Linked DNA regions of Alligator mississippiensis. The protein of the gene in region 2 purifies or fractionates together with the protein of the main gene of each other region. This does not show direct contact. Links are inferred from orthologs where the notes say so. Each region holds a gene or a part of one and is shown on either strand. Other genes may lie near its edges.

Region 1 (7,984 bases), on a different chromosome or scaffold from region 2:
TGTGAGCAGAAAACTTTGGCAAAAATAAATCTTTCCCATGACAGAGTCCGCGCTCTGCTGGGCAGCCGGCTGCTCCCAAACCTACGTGGCTCTCTCCGAGCTGGGCTCCCACACAAAGCCACGGGGATCTTTTTTTGGTCTGAAACCAGGGCAAGTTCTTCCAAATCCTGCCTGCATGCCCCTCCCCCCTGGTGTTTACACAGTGGAAGCGACTGCTGGTGGTACCTGGCAGGGCATCCTGCCCGGGCACCTGGCTGCCTGTGGTACCGCGGGGGACGTCTCCTGGTGCTCACACACGCCCGGGCCTTGCAGCTGCCTATGGGGAAGCCCGTGTCCATACGGGGCTGCTGCCCCCAGTGCAGCTGCAGCTGGAGGTCTCCGTGGGTACAGCGAGCACGAGTGCAAGGCTCAGCATGCAGTGGCAGTGCCTCCATGCCAAGGGTGCATCACACCAGAGCTGGGAGCCTGCTGGCAGCAGCCTGGGGGGCAGGTGGGAAGGACAGCTACAAGGAGGGGAGGGAGCTGCACCCACCCTGCCAGCAATCCTGGGCCTCCTGCAATGCTGAGGGCAGTCACCGGCTACCCCGCCTGCAGGGAGCAGAGTGGCCAGGCAGGGCCACTTCCCTGTCACTGCAAAACCAGAAAGTCTCGTCTCTCCTTTCCCCAGTTAGTTCCTACTTATGGGGATGGGGGGAGGGACTGGAGAGGACCGAGTGAGGGAGAGGGCAATGCCCTGGGCTCTGCAGCCCGTGGGGTTACAGCAGAGCAACAGCAGCACGTCATAGCACGTTAGCTCCAAGACAGGCACAGCAACGAAGGCAAGGCAAGCGAGTCCCAGGGACAGGGGGATAGGGCACCCCAGGGTCCCACCGGTGTGCTGGCCCACCCTGAGCAGCCATTAGAGTGGGAAGCAACAAGGGTCAGTGCACCTCCAGGACACGAGCTCCAACCACTCATATTCCCTGGCCACTGCCGCAGGCACCTGCCACAGGTGGGTGAGGCGTCTCTAGGCTCCTCCAGTCCCACCGGCCACGTGTGGCCTGGTCTGAACTCAGTGCAGCAAGCACTTTGCCTGACTCCCCCGGCTGCAGCACCGGGGCAGAAAAGCTGTGAGGCCAGAGCCACGTGCAGCAAGCACCGGAGGGGTGGGCTGCTAGCCGCGAGCTGGGCTCCCACCGCGTCTGGTGGATCCCACGTTCCTCAAGGTGCCACTGACCCAGCCCCTGCTCCACGAGCCACGCGCCCGGAGGTCATCTCCTTACCTCTGCGTGTCCGACACGCACCACCAGGCCCAGGCCCAGCCCCCGAACACGTACTGCTTCTGGTCGGAGCCGCAGCAGCCACCTGCAGCAGAGCAAAGAGCGCCAGGGTGGAGGGTGCCGCCATGCAGGGGCACGCTCCCCGCGCAGCACCACATCCGTGTCCCGCCTCGCGGCCTGCAGCCAGCTGGAGAGCCACGGCAGCAGCGCTCTGCCCAGCAGCAAGGTTCAACCCAGCTGCCATGCTTGCAAGAGAGGCAACAAAGCCTTGGCTCAGGGCTACAGCACCGGGACTGCCAGGGAAAACCTGCCGGGGGGCCCCGGAGCAGCGCACGCAGGACAGGCAGGAGGAAGCTTCCCCCGCATGGGGCTGGCCCCAGGTCACCTTCCTCTGAGAGTGCAGCACAACGGCATTCCCTGCCTGAGGAGCTCGTACCCACTGCCCACACACGGCACCACACACATGCACGCCTCTCCTCCCCTCTCTGCCTTCCTCAGGCAGCAGCGCTGCATGCAGCCATCAGCTTATTGAGTTAGGAGGCAGCGTCCACGCGCCGTGTCCGCAGCGAGATGCAGCAGACAGGAGGCGGCTGGGCCTCGACACGGGGCTTTTCCATCTTGGCACGGCCGAGGCGCCACTTTCCAAATGCAGCTGGCTCCACAACAGCTGATGCTCGGAGGCCTCCCACGCCCCGCGCGGACCCAGCCCCCTCTTAGCGTACAGCCTGGCCCCGGCCTCTCCCTGCAGCCCGTCAAGGCAAGGGGACTCCTGCCAGCACTTCCCTGCTGCGCCGTTAACTCCACGTCGTGCAGCTCTGGCTCCGGCCGACAGGCACGACCCGCTCTGAGCCGGACACCGGCCAACAGCACCTGTGGGCTGAGCCAACCTGGCAGGAGGGGCAGCCCCGCCACATGATGACTGAGCAAGCGGCAGGGAGCTCTGCTAGGTCTGGGGGAGAGGGGCTGAACACATGGATGGAGGGCTGAAGCCAAGGGGCCAAGCGGGGACAAGAGGCAGCCGCGCCCTGCAGAAGCTTGCGGCACCCAGGGCGGGCTCCCAGGACACCCGTTCACCAGGAGCTGGCGGGAGTTGAGAAGTGGAGCTCACGCGCGTGCCCCGAGGCTGGTGTGCCGTGCCCCCGAGGGCGGCAGAGCTCTCAAGGCTGGCTGCACCCCGGCCCGGCCCGCAGTCTCCCAGGCGCACATCTCCCAGCCTCTCCCCGGAGCAGCTGCTTTGCACTGACAGCCCTCGAGAGCCTGCTGGGAAGCCCCCAGCCCCGCCGGCCGGCTCCTTCCCCAGTGCCTGGCACCCGTCCAGGGGAAGGGGCCCAGTGCCGGCGGCAGAGCTCCCAGGTCCGAAGGCACCGCACGAGACCGGTAGAGGCAACAGCGGGAGTCTCCTGCCGCTGCCCCAAGAGCCGCGATGCGGACACGGGCAGCGCTGGAGGACGAGCCCCACCGAGGGCAGGAAGCCCGAGTGCAGCCGGCTCGGGACGAAGGGAGAGCCAAGCCCAGCCCGCAGCTGCGGTGCGGAGGGAGGGAGGGAGGGAGCGCTCCGGGGATCAGCGGAGGCTGGCGTGACAGCAGGCCGTGCCTGCGAACAGCGCGTCCCCGCGCGGCACCCCAACACTCGGCCCGCTGCTGCACAGGGCAAGCGCCGTCTCCAGGGACAGGCTGCGGCCTGGTGACAGCTCGCTGCCAGCGCGGCCGCGGCACAGCACCAGCGCGCCGGCCTCCTCCGACACCCGCAACGCGCACGCGGCATCCCCGGCAGGTGCCGGCCGGACCCTGCCCGTCCGCGGCGCCCAGAGCTGCTTTCCGCTGCGGGCGGGCGGGCGGCCTCTCCCTGCAGCCAGCGAGCAGCCGGAGGGCGTTTGCGCGGCGCAGAGCCGTCCCGGCGCCAGCACCTCGGAAACCGCCCAGGGCACACGCTCCGCACCTGCAGTCCCCGCGCGGCGCCAGGCAGGGGCCGGCCCCGAGCCGCCCGCTCCAACCCCCCCTCCTCGGGCCTGCCCGCGGGCGGGGGGCGCGCGACAGCTGCCCCAGCGCCGCCCGGTGCCCCCCCTGCCCTGCGCCGCGCCCTTGGCCCCGCGCGCGGCCCCTACCCGACACGACGAGCGCCTCGTTGGGCCCGACCGTGTGGCAGTTCCCCATCCTGCCGCCGCGGCCGCTGCCCCGGCCTCGCCCCGCGATCCCACAACCCCCCGCGCCCGCGCCCCCCGCCCGCCCGGAAGTGCGTCACGGGGAGGGTCCGTCCACTTCCACCCCCCTACTCCCCCGGCCGCCATGTTGGGAAGGTCGGGGGGGAGGTCTGGGAAGTGGGGCCGCGCGATACCCCGTGCGCATGCGCCTGCGTCCCCCTTTCCCTTCTCCCTGAGGTCGCATCAGGCCGGGCGTGCGAACAGGTGCACGCGTGCCCTTCAGGGCCTGCCCAGATGTGTGCATGCGTAGGCCAGTGCACATGCACACACGTGTCCCGCAGGCCCACAACACATCCTTCCCAGAGGCTATGGCACGTGTGCAAGGGGATGCAGTTCCACGTGGGCGCAGGAGCCACACGTCCCTTGCACCCCGGGTGCCAGGGGAGCCCGCCCGGCCTGATGCCCCAGGACGCACATGGATGCGGAGGGGAAACCGCTCCCCTCGCACCCGAATCGGGCCCCCGACGCTGGAGGAGAGCAGGGCAGCGGGCGGCCATGGGGGCTCCCTCGTGGGCCCGGCCCGCCTGCAAGGGGCTCGACGGTCACAACAGGCTAACCGGTGAAGAGCAAGTCGGTGGAGTCCGGCGTCGCTATCCCCGAGGCCGCCCGAGACACACACGAGGCAGTTGTCTCCCCCGCGCGGCACCGGACGTCCAGCCAGATTCACGCAGCCGCAGCGCAGGAGGAAAGGGGCAGCAGGCAGTGTGGGGATCGGCCTCCGCGTCCGGACCCGAACGCAGGAGGCTGCGAGTGGGAGAGGGGGGCCAGCCCTGCTGGGACGCGCTCGCCCTCCCTCTGCCTCGGCCACGCGGACGCTGAGCGACACGGCCTGCTGCGGTGATGTTCTCACGTGGACGCCTGCGCGGGCACGGCGGGACTGGGCAGGACCTGCTCTTGCGTCCCGCCGAGGGGCTGGTCCGGTGCCGGGCGCGGCGCAGGAACGACTCCCCCGTGCAGAGGTGCAGGCATCCTGCTTTATTCAAGCCCAGTGCAGCCCAGCCCCAGACTGCACGTGTGGTCCCCTTCAGCACAGCCTCCCTGTGCCCACCGCCCGGCTGGCACGACACCGCTCGGGCCCTGCCCATGGTCCCCGTCGGCACCGAGATGCGCAGCGCCCTACGCGGCCAGCCCCACCATCCTCTCGCTGACCTCCCACAGCTTCCTGGCAACGGTGTCGTCCCGGGCGCGGGGCCGCGGCTCCTGCGGGCGGCAGTCGGCAAAGTAGCGTCCGCTGAGCGCCTCGATGCCCTCCTGGGTGGCGCAGTGGATGGAGGTCTGGGCTCCGCTCACGGCGTCTCGGAAGAAGAGCCAAGAGAAGGGCACGAAAAGCGGCCACAGCCAGGCAGGGACGAAGGAGAACAGCGCCGTGTTCACGACCCCTGCGGGCAAAGGTGGTCAATGCCACGGTGCCCGAGCGGCTGGGCAGAGCTCGGGGAAGCCCTGCGGCCTTGCGCCAGCTCCGTCAGCATGGGACACAGGGAAGCACTCTCCCAGCACCGGACCCCTGCACCCCAACGTCCCCAGTTTGCAGCACAGCACGAGGCGGCCGAGCCTCGGGACTCCGCGCCCTGCCTCGGGCAGACCCGAGGCAGCACCAGCCCCGAGGTCAGGCGGCGCAGGCTCACCTGGGTGCAGCGCGTAGCAGGTGACGCCGGTGCCCTCGAGCCGGCCGGCCAGCTCCCGGGCGAAGAGGATGTTGGCCAGCTTGCTGTCGCAGTAGGCCTGGAAGTTCTGCAGCACGCCCTCCACCGGCCGGCCCAGGCGCTCAAAGTCGATGCGCCCCGAGCGGTGGGCGCTGGAGGCCACGACCACGACGCGGCTGGGCGCGCAGTGCTTCAGGCGCTCCAGCAGCAGCTGCGTCAGCAGGAAGTGGCCCAGGTGGTTCACCTGGAACACCAGGTTGCAGCCGTCCGACCGCCGGCCCCCGGACGCGATGCCTGCAAGGGAAGGCGGCTCCAGCGCAGGCAGGCTTTGCAGGCCTTTGGTGCCAGGCGCGAGCCGCGGGCCTCACCTGCGTTGAGGACGAGGAGGTCCAGGCGGGGCTCGCAGCGCAGGAAGGTCTCGGCGAAGGCTCGCACGGAGTCCAGGCTGGCCAGGTCCAGGCTCATGAAGAGGACGTCGCTGTTCCCGGTGTCCTGCGGGGAGAGGGGGAGACGGGGGGCCGGGATGCGGGCACTGGCTGGGCACCCGCGCCCGGCCCAGGGAGAGCTCTTGGAGCCCGAGGGCTAGGGGTCCCACCTGGCGGATGCTGCGGGCGGCCGCCTGCCCTCGCTCGGCGCTGCGACAAGCCAGCACGACGCGGGCGCCGCGGCGGGCCAGGTCCAGCGCGGTGGCGCGGCCGATGCCGGCGTTGGCCCCTGCGGAGGCAGCGCGGCGTGAGCGGGGCCCTGCGCGGGCGGGCCGGGGCCGGGGCCGGGGCCGGGGCTCGGCGCTCACCCGTGACGAGCGCGGTGCGGCCGCGCAGGGCGGCCCGGCTGCGGCAGCGCGCCCCGCCGCCCAGGCGCGCGTGGAGCAGCGCGTACAGCCCCAGCGCCAGCGCGGGCAGCAGCAGCAGCGCGGCCATGGCGCCGGGCGGGCCGCTGGCTCCGCCCCGGGGCCCCGCTCCTCCCCGCCGCCCAGCGCCGGCACCGCCGCGGCAGCCAGCTCCTCGGAAGCTTCCTGCCTTCTCCCCCCTCCAGCCCTGCGTGCCTGGGGCAGAGCCCGGCCGGGGGTCTCCTCCGAGCTCCTCAGTGGTGGTCACAGAGTGAGGACAGACAGGCAGGAAACAGACTGGGAAGTATTTCGCTTTTTATATACAGAATACAGGAAAGTTTCTGTAAAGTCTAAAACATTACAATGACTATGTACATCGGAGCTAGCTGTCGGGGGCGGGGGCCAACGGAAGAGACAGACAGGCTTACGACAGACAATCTGCTACAATAGACAAATCGGAGGCAACGTCATCCCACATGGAGCACTGTACACAGCTTTAAAAACATTGAAAAATGCCGTCACGGATGTATTTACACAGAATCCAATACTTTCCTTATGCAAAGAGAGAGAGAGAGAGAGAGAGAGAGGGTGGACGCCAGGAAAAGAACTCGTTTCTCATTGCCCATAATACACAGTAGCAACTTGTAGTGCAACCACAGCAGGGGGGAGGCCTGTGGGGGAGTATAGCGCTTCTTTACATTAAATAAAACAATGATATTGTATAGATTTGCTGTATGAAAACTGTATTTTTCTCTTTTAATATAAAACTATTGTCACTGGCACAAAATAGAACAAGTTTCTGATTATTTTACAATTGCGCAGGAAGGGCCTGGCGGAGGGGGCCGGGCCACAGCGCCTGCTCCTCGCCTCACTGCAGTTTTCCTTTTAAAATGAAATGTATAGTACAAATATATGTGCAAATGCCCCGAAAACTTGAGCAAAAAAAGAAAATAATTAAAAAAAGTGAAACGTTCTTCATCTCATGCAAACGGCGTGAACGGTTCCTGGGCCGGCGTAGAAAATCCCCGCGGGGTTTGTACATGTTTGCATTGCAAGAGTCTCCGGCGAGGCCCCTGCTGCAGCACGGGGCCCCGGCCCGGGCTCCTAGGGAACGGAGTTGGAGCGCAGCACGGGCACCTGGTGGGGCTTCAGGGGGAGCTTCTCCTCCAAGTCTGTGTCTTGTGCTAAGGCCGCGTCCCCCTTGGGCTGTTTGGTCGCAAACTCGGTGATGCTGAAGACAAACTGCAGGCAGCCCAGCTTGATGTAACTGCCGTGGTGGAGCAGGGCCGTGCCCTCCCAGCCTGCCCCGCTACCCCCGATCAAGCTGGAGCTGCTGGCCTTGCAGTTGCAGGGCTTGCGGTGCTGCCCCTGCGCCTGCGAGTTCATCACAGCAGCGTCTTCGTGCGGCTCCTCTTCCTGCTTCCTGCTTTTGTGGCGCCCTGGAAGAGAAGCACAAGTCAGGCAGGCCGCAGTGAGCAGGCCCAGCACCGCGCTCCTGCTGGAGGCTTGTCTCACTCCGCCGTAGAGAGGAGACAACGCTCCTTCCGTCAACCAGGCTGCTGCGAGCCCCTGGAGAAACATCCGGCCCTCGTATAGGGGAAGAGGAATTGCTCGGCTGCACCCACGCCCGAGCCGCAGACCAGGAGTGCAAGGAAAGCATGTGTGGACGCAGCCCGCCAGGACCCAACTCAAAACCTGAAGCTTTCTGGAGAGGGCCAGGAGCGCAAGGGAACCAGAGCTCAGGTTAACAGCCCCAGAGGCTGGGCTGACTGCTGCAGAGGGCTCTGCAGACTGAGGGAACGGAGCGCCGGTAGCCACTGTTGAGCTGTGGGAAGCCCCCTCCCTTCTTTGCCAGCAGAACGCTGTAAGGAAACTGGACGGAAGCCGCCTGTGAGCACGGGCTGGGCAGAGGGGCCAGCTCTGCCCTGACTTACTTATCACGCTCTGCACTTTGGCAACAATGCTGCTGGGAGGGGTGGGTGTTGTCTTCTCGGAGAAGTCGCAGGAGTACAGGACGTTGTCTACCGTCGTCCCGTGCTCACTGTAGTTCAG
Region 2 (8,020 bases):
CTGTAGCTCCAGAAAGCAGGCCTCCTCCAGCTTACCCTCCACCTCAAACTCCCTCCAGTGCTGAGACAGTGGGAAAAGAATGGTCTCTAAGATCTGCCTATTCCTTACTCTGCTCCATCCACCTGACACAGAGGGTTGGGGGAAAGAAGAGAAAGTGTATCCCAGTCATTCGTCGTGCCTCACCATATCTGGCACGTCAGACACTAATGGCGGGGAACAGGCAGAGACAGGCAGCTACTGGTACCACTACAGTAAACATCTACGGAGGTGTCGGGCAGAGGAAAACCAGCCTGAGGTGGCTGCTCCGGGAGTGTGCTGTGAAATGTGCAGGCGCCAAGCATGTGAACCAACTTACTTATTTTTTAGCTCTGAAGTGGCATCCATGTCTCTAAATTCTCCTGCAATGTGTACTATTCCATAGCAGGTCACTGCGAAGGCCAGTAGTGTCTGAAGAACTATCTGCAACAGAAAAGCCATCCCACGCATGAGACACTACAGCCTGCACACCCCTCACATCTCTGTCCTGCCTGCAGATGTTTCGAGTAACAAGCGCTTGCCTTTGCTCTTCATTCATGCAAAGTACTATTTAGAGGTAAGCAGCCAACCTCATCCCCACTGCAGAGAGCGCAGAAACAAGCACAGAGACATTTAAATAACTCTCCCAGGGCAGCACTGCTACGTGTTGGCAGAGCTTGGTCTGTACCCTACACGCTAGTTTGATCCATGCGGTGGGGTTCTTGGGGAAGATGCTGTATCCTTTGAGCAAATCCCTGCACTGTTGTGTGTGCTTGCAAATGCAAGTTAGTGGCTCCATGCTTTCTCCAGGGATGGCAATGTGACACCACTTCTTTCTCTCCTCCCCCCTGCTTTCTTCACTGTTCATTTTTTTTCATGTCACCAGTATTAAGAAAACTAATGCCCTCAAGCAGGTTGTGCCAGGGCGAGGCCAGCCCAAAAGAGTATTGATCAAGCTGATGTCAGCTGGCCAAGCCAGAGGGAGGCGGGCATTTGTGCTGCAGAGAGCAGGACTGAACAGGAGGATGTTCCACAGCTTTAACTCTAAGGCCTGGAATTGCTGGATGAGGTGCTCCAGCCACCGTGGTAGCAAAGGGGAGGAAAGTCCAGCTTGGGGGTCTGTCTCTCTGTCTGACTGGCACCCTTTGCAAGCACTGTAACACCTTCCTGGAAGCTGGGGCTGGCAGCGAGATGTCTGCCTGCAGATAAGAATCCAGAGGAATGTGCAGTTAAAAATCCCATTAAAAAGACAGAAACCCAGGAGAGAAAGCAAGGACCAAACTGTGTGGTTACTCTTAACCCTTTCACCCTGCTGCAACCATCCAACTTACATCTATTGGCAATGTTTCATCTTCCTTTTCTGTTAACCTCATGTAGGAGCGATCTACAAAACAGAGGTATTGGTAGGTTAGTAATGTATCAGGGACATTCTTCGAGGCAGAACTCTCTGTAACATCCAATTCACGTAAGCTCCAGGATTCCTTGTTATGCCCTAGAAAAAGGGGTTCATGCATGTCTGCTGCATCTAGCTTTGTTCCCACATCCTCTGCTTCACACAGCATCTTTGACCTGCCTCAACAAACGATTTCACTTTTTCCTTCATGCAGAACAAGTGTCCGCAGAGCAATCTCTATGAAGACTGGCTATTGCCAAGTGAACTGTCAGCCAGCCAGCACCACCCATACTTTCCTTCTCCCATTATACAAAAGCTGTTTCAGCAGGAGAGCGAGCTGTACTATCCGACTGTGTCTGACTGTTCCCTGTCAAACTTGTCCGCGTGACTCATGAGTGCTGCTAAACCGAAGTGCCTGGTTTTGTACTGTGCGCTTGCAGCCCAGGGGCTCCCCGCCAGTGCAGGCCACAGCCCCCTGGGGCTGTGCGAGAGCCTGTCAAGGGGCCACGTAACACTGGCGCTGACGTCTAGTGGGTTTCCTACCTACTTTAACGCCCTCGGCGTTCTGCATAAACATTTACATGGGAAAACATGGCAGGCGCCTTGCAGGACTCCACGCAAATGGACTGCTTAGGGCCCCTGCCCCATGTTCAAATGAAAGCCAGACAGAAACCGACTCTAGAGTTGTTGCACATTGTCAGGCACTAAATTTGTAGCTGCTCAACTCTTTCTATAGCTGCACGGACGTTTTTACGGTGTGATAATGACTTTGCATCTGTGGCTGCTCTACGCTGATTGCACAATTCACCAGACAGTCGCGTAACACATGTAGCAGGAGCCTTCAGAGAGACACGTGGGCTCCAGTTGTAGCGGACGAGCTGCCCGGGAGCTCGTCCCAAAGACTACGCACCCTCGGCCACCGCGTTCTTCATCTCCTCAGGCGGGAGCCCCCCCACCCCCCGACGAGCCTTGAGACACCCTGGGGACAGGCTGGCTCTTGGTTTCGACTCATGTTTTGAGCGCAGAAGAAAACTAGAGCAATCCCTTCCCTTGCAAAAGGTCAAGAAAGGCCCCGGCGGGGCCGAGTATTGAAAGCTACGGGCTCCTCGGGGAAACCTCTGCGGCGGTGCCGGCTGGAGGAGGCCGGGCAGGGCTCGTCGGTTTGAAATGCACGCAAAGGAGTCCTTTGTCACCCAGCGTCTCGCTCAAGGGTGGAGCTCGTCACCAGCAGATGTGGCGGATGCGGACGGCTCCAAAAAGGGATGGGACATAAACCCAGAGGAAAGGGGAACCAGCTGCTAGCGAGCAGGGGAGGGAAACGCACGGCCTCCCAACCACCGCGCCGGGGAGCCTGCTCCACTCCAGCACTTTCCTAGGGAGGAAGTTTTTCCTAATATCCAACCTCAACTTGCCTTGCTGCAGCTTGCGCCCATTGCTCCTTGTGCCGTCTGCCCCCGCCGAGACCAGCCCAGCTCCCTCGGCCTCTCCTCGCCATCATGCCCCCCAGCCCCACACAGCCGTCTGCCCTCGGCCTCGTCCACAGGCTCCCCCGGGGCCCAAGGCCGCGAGCAGGAGGGGGAGGGGGAACCCAGACACCCCCCTCCCCTCCCCCACAAAATGACAGCCGCCCCCCCCCGTAGTCTGGACCCCCCTCCGCGGGCCGAGGGGTTTCCGCGCCCCCCCCGTCACGTCACACGTCACGACTCACGCTGCGCGGCGGAGAAGGCGGCGTGGGCCAAGGCGAAGAGCCCGACGCCCACCAGCCCCTTCCACAGCGAGGCGGCCGCCATCTTGCCCTGCGTGCCTCCCCCCGGCCGCCTCCCACCGCCAGGGGCGCCCGGGCCGGCGGCGCGCGGCGATGACGCAAGAGCCGGAAGAGGCGGGGCTTCCCCCCGCATGCGCAGTGGGTGCGCGGGGCGGGGCGGGGCGGGGTTGTTCCAGCGGGGCCTGTCATGGCGGCGGCCTGGTCTCGCGCGAGCGGCTCCTGAGGGGACTGGCTCGGGGCTCGGGGCGGGCCATGGCGCCGCGCGGCGGAGCGGGGCCCCGGGCCCTGCTGCTGCTGCTGCTGGCGACGGCGCTGGCGGGCGAGGCGGCGGCGGGGGCCGCCGCGGCGGCGCTGGAGGAGGAGATCGTGTCGGAGCGGGCGGCCGAGCAGAGCCACCGGCAGGACAGCGCCAACCTCGTCATCTTCATCCTGCTGCTCACCCTCACCATCCTCACCATCTGGCTCTTCAAGCACCGCCGCGCGCGCTTCCTGCACGAGACCGGCCTGGCCATGATCTACGGTGAGGCCGGCCCCGCCGCCCGCCCGCCCGCCCGGGCCTCCCTCTCCGCGGCGGGCCCGGCCGGGGGTGCTGAGGCCGCTCGCAGGGGCCCGGCTCGCTCCGATGTCCCCCGTCTCTAGAGGCGCCTGTGTGGGGCTTCGCTTCTCGACGAGCCCTGTGGGCCCGCAGCCGCCCCGCACCTCGCTTGCGCCCCGAGCCTGGGTCCTCGTTTGAAGACCTTCCCCCCACTCACCCACCCTGGATACCTCCCCAAATGAGCGTGGGTCTTGTTAAACACCCCCCCCCCTCCCGAATAACTCTAAATAACTGTGGGTCTGCATTTAAAGACCTTCCTACTGCCCCTCACCCTGGATAACTCTCCAAACAAATGTCAGTCCTTGTTAAAGAGCTTCCCCTTTGCCCTGGTAACTCTCCACGTGAGCGTGGGTCCGAGTTACAGACCTTCCCCCCTGAATAACTCTCTAAACAACTGTGGGTCCTGATTTAAAGACCTTTCCCCCTGCCTGGATAACTCTCCAAACGAGCAAGGGTCCTAGTTAAAGACCTTCCCTTGCCCCTCACCCTGGATAACTCTTCGAACAAGTGTGGGTCCTCATTAAAGACCTTCCCCCGCCCTGAATATCTCTCCAAATGAGCATGGGTCCTAGTTACAGACCTTTCCCCCCTGTGACTAACTGTCTAAACAACTGTGGGTCCTGATTTAAAGACCTTCCCCCCACCCCTCATGCTGGATAATTTTCCAAACAAGTGTCAGTCCTCGTTAAAGACCCTCCCCCCTGCCCTGGTAACTCTCCAAATGAGCGTGGGTCCTGATTTAAAGACTTCCCCCACTTCACCCAGGAAAACTCTCTGAGCAAGTGTGGGTCCTAGTTAAAGACTTTCCCCCCCCCCAGCCCGGATAACTCGGCGAGCAGGACGTGCCTGCCGTGACAGTCTTCTCAGAGCGTCTCGAGTGAATCGAGGGTCCTCGGGTTAGCGAGGTGAATCCAAACTCGGGTTTCGTACCCGCCCTGCTTTCCGCAGAGCTCCTGGATTCACCTCTTCCCCAGGTTTGTGGGGACGTCTGTGCTGCAGTCGGAGGTGTGACTGCAGCTGGTGCCGACGTACCCGAGCTGGTGGTCAGCCAGGCCACGTACTGGTTATGGTGTTGCTGCCACAGCGGAGTTGCCAGCTAAGCAACTAAGTGTTTACCCAGGCTCTCGGGTGGGTGCGTCACCTCTGTGGTGTCTAAAAAGCAGCCTTGCCAGTTCAATTTCTTGTGCATTTGGGGATTTTCCACTCTGTACTTGCATCTTCAGCTTCTTCCTTGTTCCAAGATGCTTTTTCTCCTGAACGGGCAGCAGCTGAGCTCTTGCTTATGTTCCCGGTCTGAGCGGATTGGGCTGCAACCCCGGTCACCCATGGCATAAGCTTCCCTTTCTGGATTCGGGGATTTTCCTGACATCAGCCAGAACATGTAGGCAGTTTATAAAGGGATTCCCCAAATTGCCATGCAGCCTCTTTGCTAATTTCCCCACTAGGGATAATGGGTGTGATCCTCTTAGTATACCAGGTAATATTTGCACTACGTGTCAAAGATTTAGGAATTGCACTCGGGACTCGTGCACACCCCGGGATGTTTTGTGCCAGTTCGGTTTCACTGCATTGCAGTAAATAGGGGCTGGCATTAATGCAGCACATTGAAAGTGGGGTCTGACTATACATAAGGTTGAATCATAGAAAAGTAGGGCTGCAAAGGCCCTCAGGAGTTCATCTAGTCCCACACCCTGCTCAAGGTAGGCACCTCCTTGGCTACACCATCCCAGCCTAGTGCTTGTTTAATCTCTTGTTACAATTTTCTAAGGATGGACGTTCACCACCTCTCCGAGTAGCCTCTTCCAACCTCAGCACTTGGAGGCACTTGTTAAACATCTAAGGAAGTTGAGAGCACAGATCCCATGACTTGAAGGTGTGGGTGAGGTTGGTTCCTTCAGAGTTATTTTTGCTCAAACGTCCCTTAGATTTTTTTGGAAATTCCACCCCCACCCCCTGCATCTGAATTTGAGCTGGTGAAATTGCCCTGTTAAGAGCATTTGTCATCAGGGTCCTAATCCCACCTCTGGCTTCTTCTTTGGTAGTCACTGAGTAGAAATCACAGAGTAAATCATTATTCAGGGTGTAGAGTACTTGCCTAGCAGTGACTCTGTGGAGACAAATACCCTTTATAGGTTTTTGTTGAGTAGCTGGGTGGGTTCCAGAATGTGTAATGGTGTACAAGAAAGTACAATGCAATCTACTATGTTCTCTTGATTCATGTTAAGAATTTTTCATTTGTCACTCAGAACCAGCTGTTTCTAGTTCATAACTGATTAGGCTTTTGTTCCTTGGTATCTTCCAAGTATCAACTGTATTTGGGGGCTATAGCAGGGAGTGCTCTAGGGTATGGGCAGTGGGCCCTGGAGTTAGCTGAGTAATTTAAATGGTGATGCTTCTTGTCCAGATTCATTTAGTTTTTCTACTAATCAGAGCTAACCCAGCAAACTGCACTCTCACTCTGCATTCTTTACTCATGCATCTGGTATTTGTTCAACTTCCCTGTGTTTGTGTGTTTGAATGTGGTGATGATATGAGATAGCGGCTTGTGGGCAAGCAGCCAGAATTCCCGGTGGCACTTCTCAACTGTTTACTTCTGATTGTTCACAGAAAAGGCACTGGCTTGAAAGTTCCTGTAATCCATCCTTTTGACAAGCCCAGGAAGTCACAGGGGCAGATGCCTGTCTGTGTCGTACCCACCTGTTGCACAGCGGCTTGTGAGCCTGGATTCCTTGTACAACTATAAGCAAAATGGGGATGTTATTCCTATCAGAGCTAATGAAAATGCTCAATGAGCTGTCTAAGGAAGGTGCCCAGAGTGAGGTGCAGGTGCGCAGGAAAAAGAAGCTGAGCATTGTGATGCTGAGCAGGGAGATGGGCAGATAGGCAGTCTCATTGGGCAGTACTTAGTAGCACTGAAGGACTGATTTAGATCAGTGTTGTAGCTTTGTATTGTCTGGAGCTACAGCAGCACTGACGTGATTGAAATGACATGATTGAACCCAACACAAGGCGGGGGATACTGCTTTCACTTTCTCCTGGGTTACCTGACAGTCTGTAACTTGACCAAACCAGACCTCAGTGGGTTAAGAGTGTGGGTGGAGTGAGTTAATCAAGCCGGAGGGAGCAGTTGGGCTAGGCTTCTCCTCGTCTAGACAAGGCCTTATTGAGTACATTTTAGGAGTCTTCATTATCAAATGCTATGTAGCCAACATAGAAGGTCTCTTTTTTTATATTTTTCTATGCAATTGTTAGTTCTAATTGGTGGTGCCTGATGATGTGCTTATGGCTGAGCTATTCAAGCTGGCAGCTGGAGAAATGTAGATTTCTACAAAACCAAACAGAAAATGCCTTCTAAAGTTATATGTTTTGGGTTCTTTAGAGTGCAGAAGTTTGTTTCCATCTGTGGGCATAAAGTAATGGTCAGTGGGCAAGAATTAGCATAACACTAGTGATTGTGCATTACGCATGTGCCTCTGTGCTTTGAACACAGAAGATCAAAGTCTGTTACAGCCCTCGTACAGACAGAGCCTTGGTTTTCTGACAAAGTTACCCTGGTAGAAGTTACTGATTTTTGTACTAAACAGTTGGCACCATTGCTCTTTATGGAGCATAGTGTACGTGGTGGTGAGTGCTGTGGTGTGCCCACAGGTAGCGCACACCCATGAACTAGCAGCGCTCTGAATCCAAGCAACAGGTTCTTTCCTCCTCTGATGCCAGTCATCACAAAACTTGATCCAGTCTGCCTTGCAGTACCTTGCTCCATCTGCAAGCTGACTCTGCCAGGCAGAGCAGCATTCTGCACTCCTTTCCCAATCACCCACAGAGATTCCAAAGGATGCTAAGTCATCTTTGCAAGCATCCTGAAATCTGCGCAGCGGTCTGCTTCTCTTTCTAGACCCTTTGTGAGCTTCAGAGTACAGCACATTCTTTGGGATCCTGTGATCCTGTATTTGCTTGACATGACCAACATTCCCATGAGTGACATAGCAGCACAATTTAACACTTCCACATTTGTCACCCTGTCTATGCAAAGAATTTTACATAGTCATCTGATATGAAAGCTGCATATGTTTGACATAGGTTGTCCATGTTTCTGAGCCATATAGAAGAGTGAATAAAACATGTCTCATAAATAGATTTTCACTTTAATTGACAGTTTGTTATTGTTCCAGGCTCTGTTTCACAAAAGGCCAGAGTTCCTGGCTGCTTTGCTGATTCTACCAGTGAGCTCAGCATCAAGATCTACATTGCT

What was found.
Region 1: the proteins of MMGT1 (region 2) and FLOT2 purify together in Homo sapiens (affinity purification with mass spectrometry; 3 studies listed by BioGRID and IntAct, with this or other methods). This does not show direct contact. The link is inferred for Alligator mississippiensis from reciprocal best matches to the Homo sapiens genes MMGT1 and FLOT2.

What each region holds. Positions count from the first base shown.
Region 1 is NC_081837.1:1,221,659-1,229,642, forward strand, and holds the start of FLOT2 (flotillin-2), read right to left. Parts: upstream 3,462-7,984; 5' UTR 3,414-3,461; coding exon 3,365-3,413; intron 1,345-3,364; coding exon 1,263-1,344; intron 1-1,262. Other genes in the region: DHRS13 (dehydrogenase/reductase SDR family member 13), read right to left, coding at 4,577-4,839, 5,086-5,397, 5,472-5,595, 5,699-5,817, 5,897-6,023; PHF12 (PHD finger protein 12), read right to left, coding at 7,037-7,371, 7,867-7,984. UniProt on the Homo sapiens protein: May act as a scaffolding protein within caveolar membranes, functionally participating in formation of caveolae or caveolae-like vesicles. May be involved in epidermal cell adhesion and epidermal structure and function.
Region 2 is NC_081831.1:80,139,035-80,147,054, reverse strand, and holds the start of MMGT1 (ER membrane protein complex subunit 5), read right to left. Parts: upstream 3,248-8,020; 5' UTR 3,199-3,247; coding exon 3,117-3,198; intron 1,400-3,116; coding exon 1,347-1,399; intron 460-1,346; coding exon 356-459; intron 1-355. Other genes in the region: SLC9A6 (sodium/hydrogen exchanger 6), read left to right, coding at 3,426-3,693. UniProt on the Homo sapiens protein: Part of the endoplasmic reticulum membrane protein complex (EMC) that enables the energy-independent insertion into endoplasmic reticulum membranes of newly synthesized membrane proteins.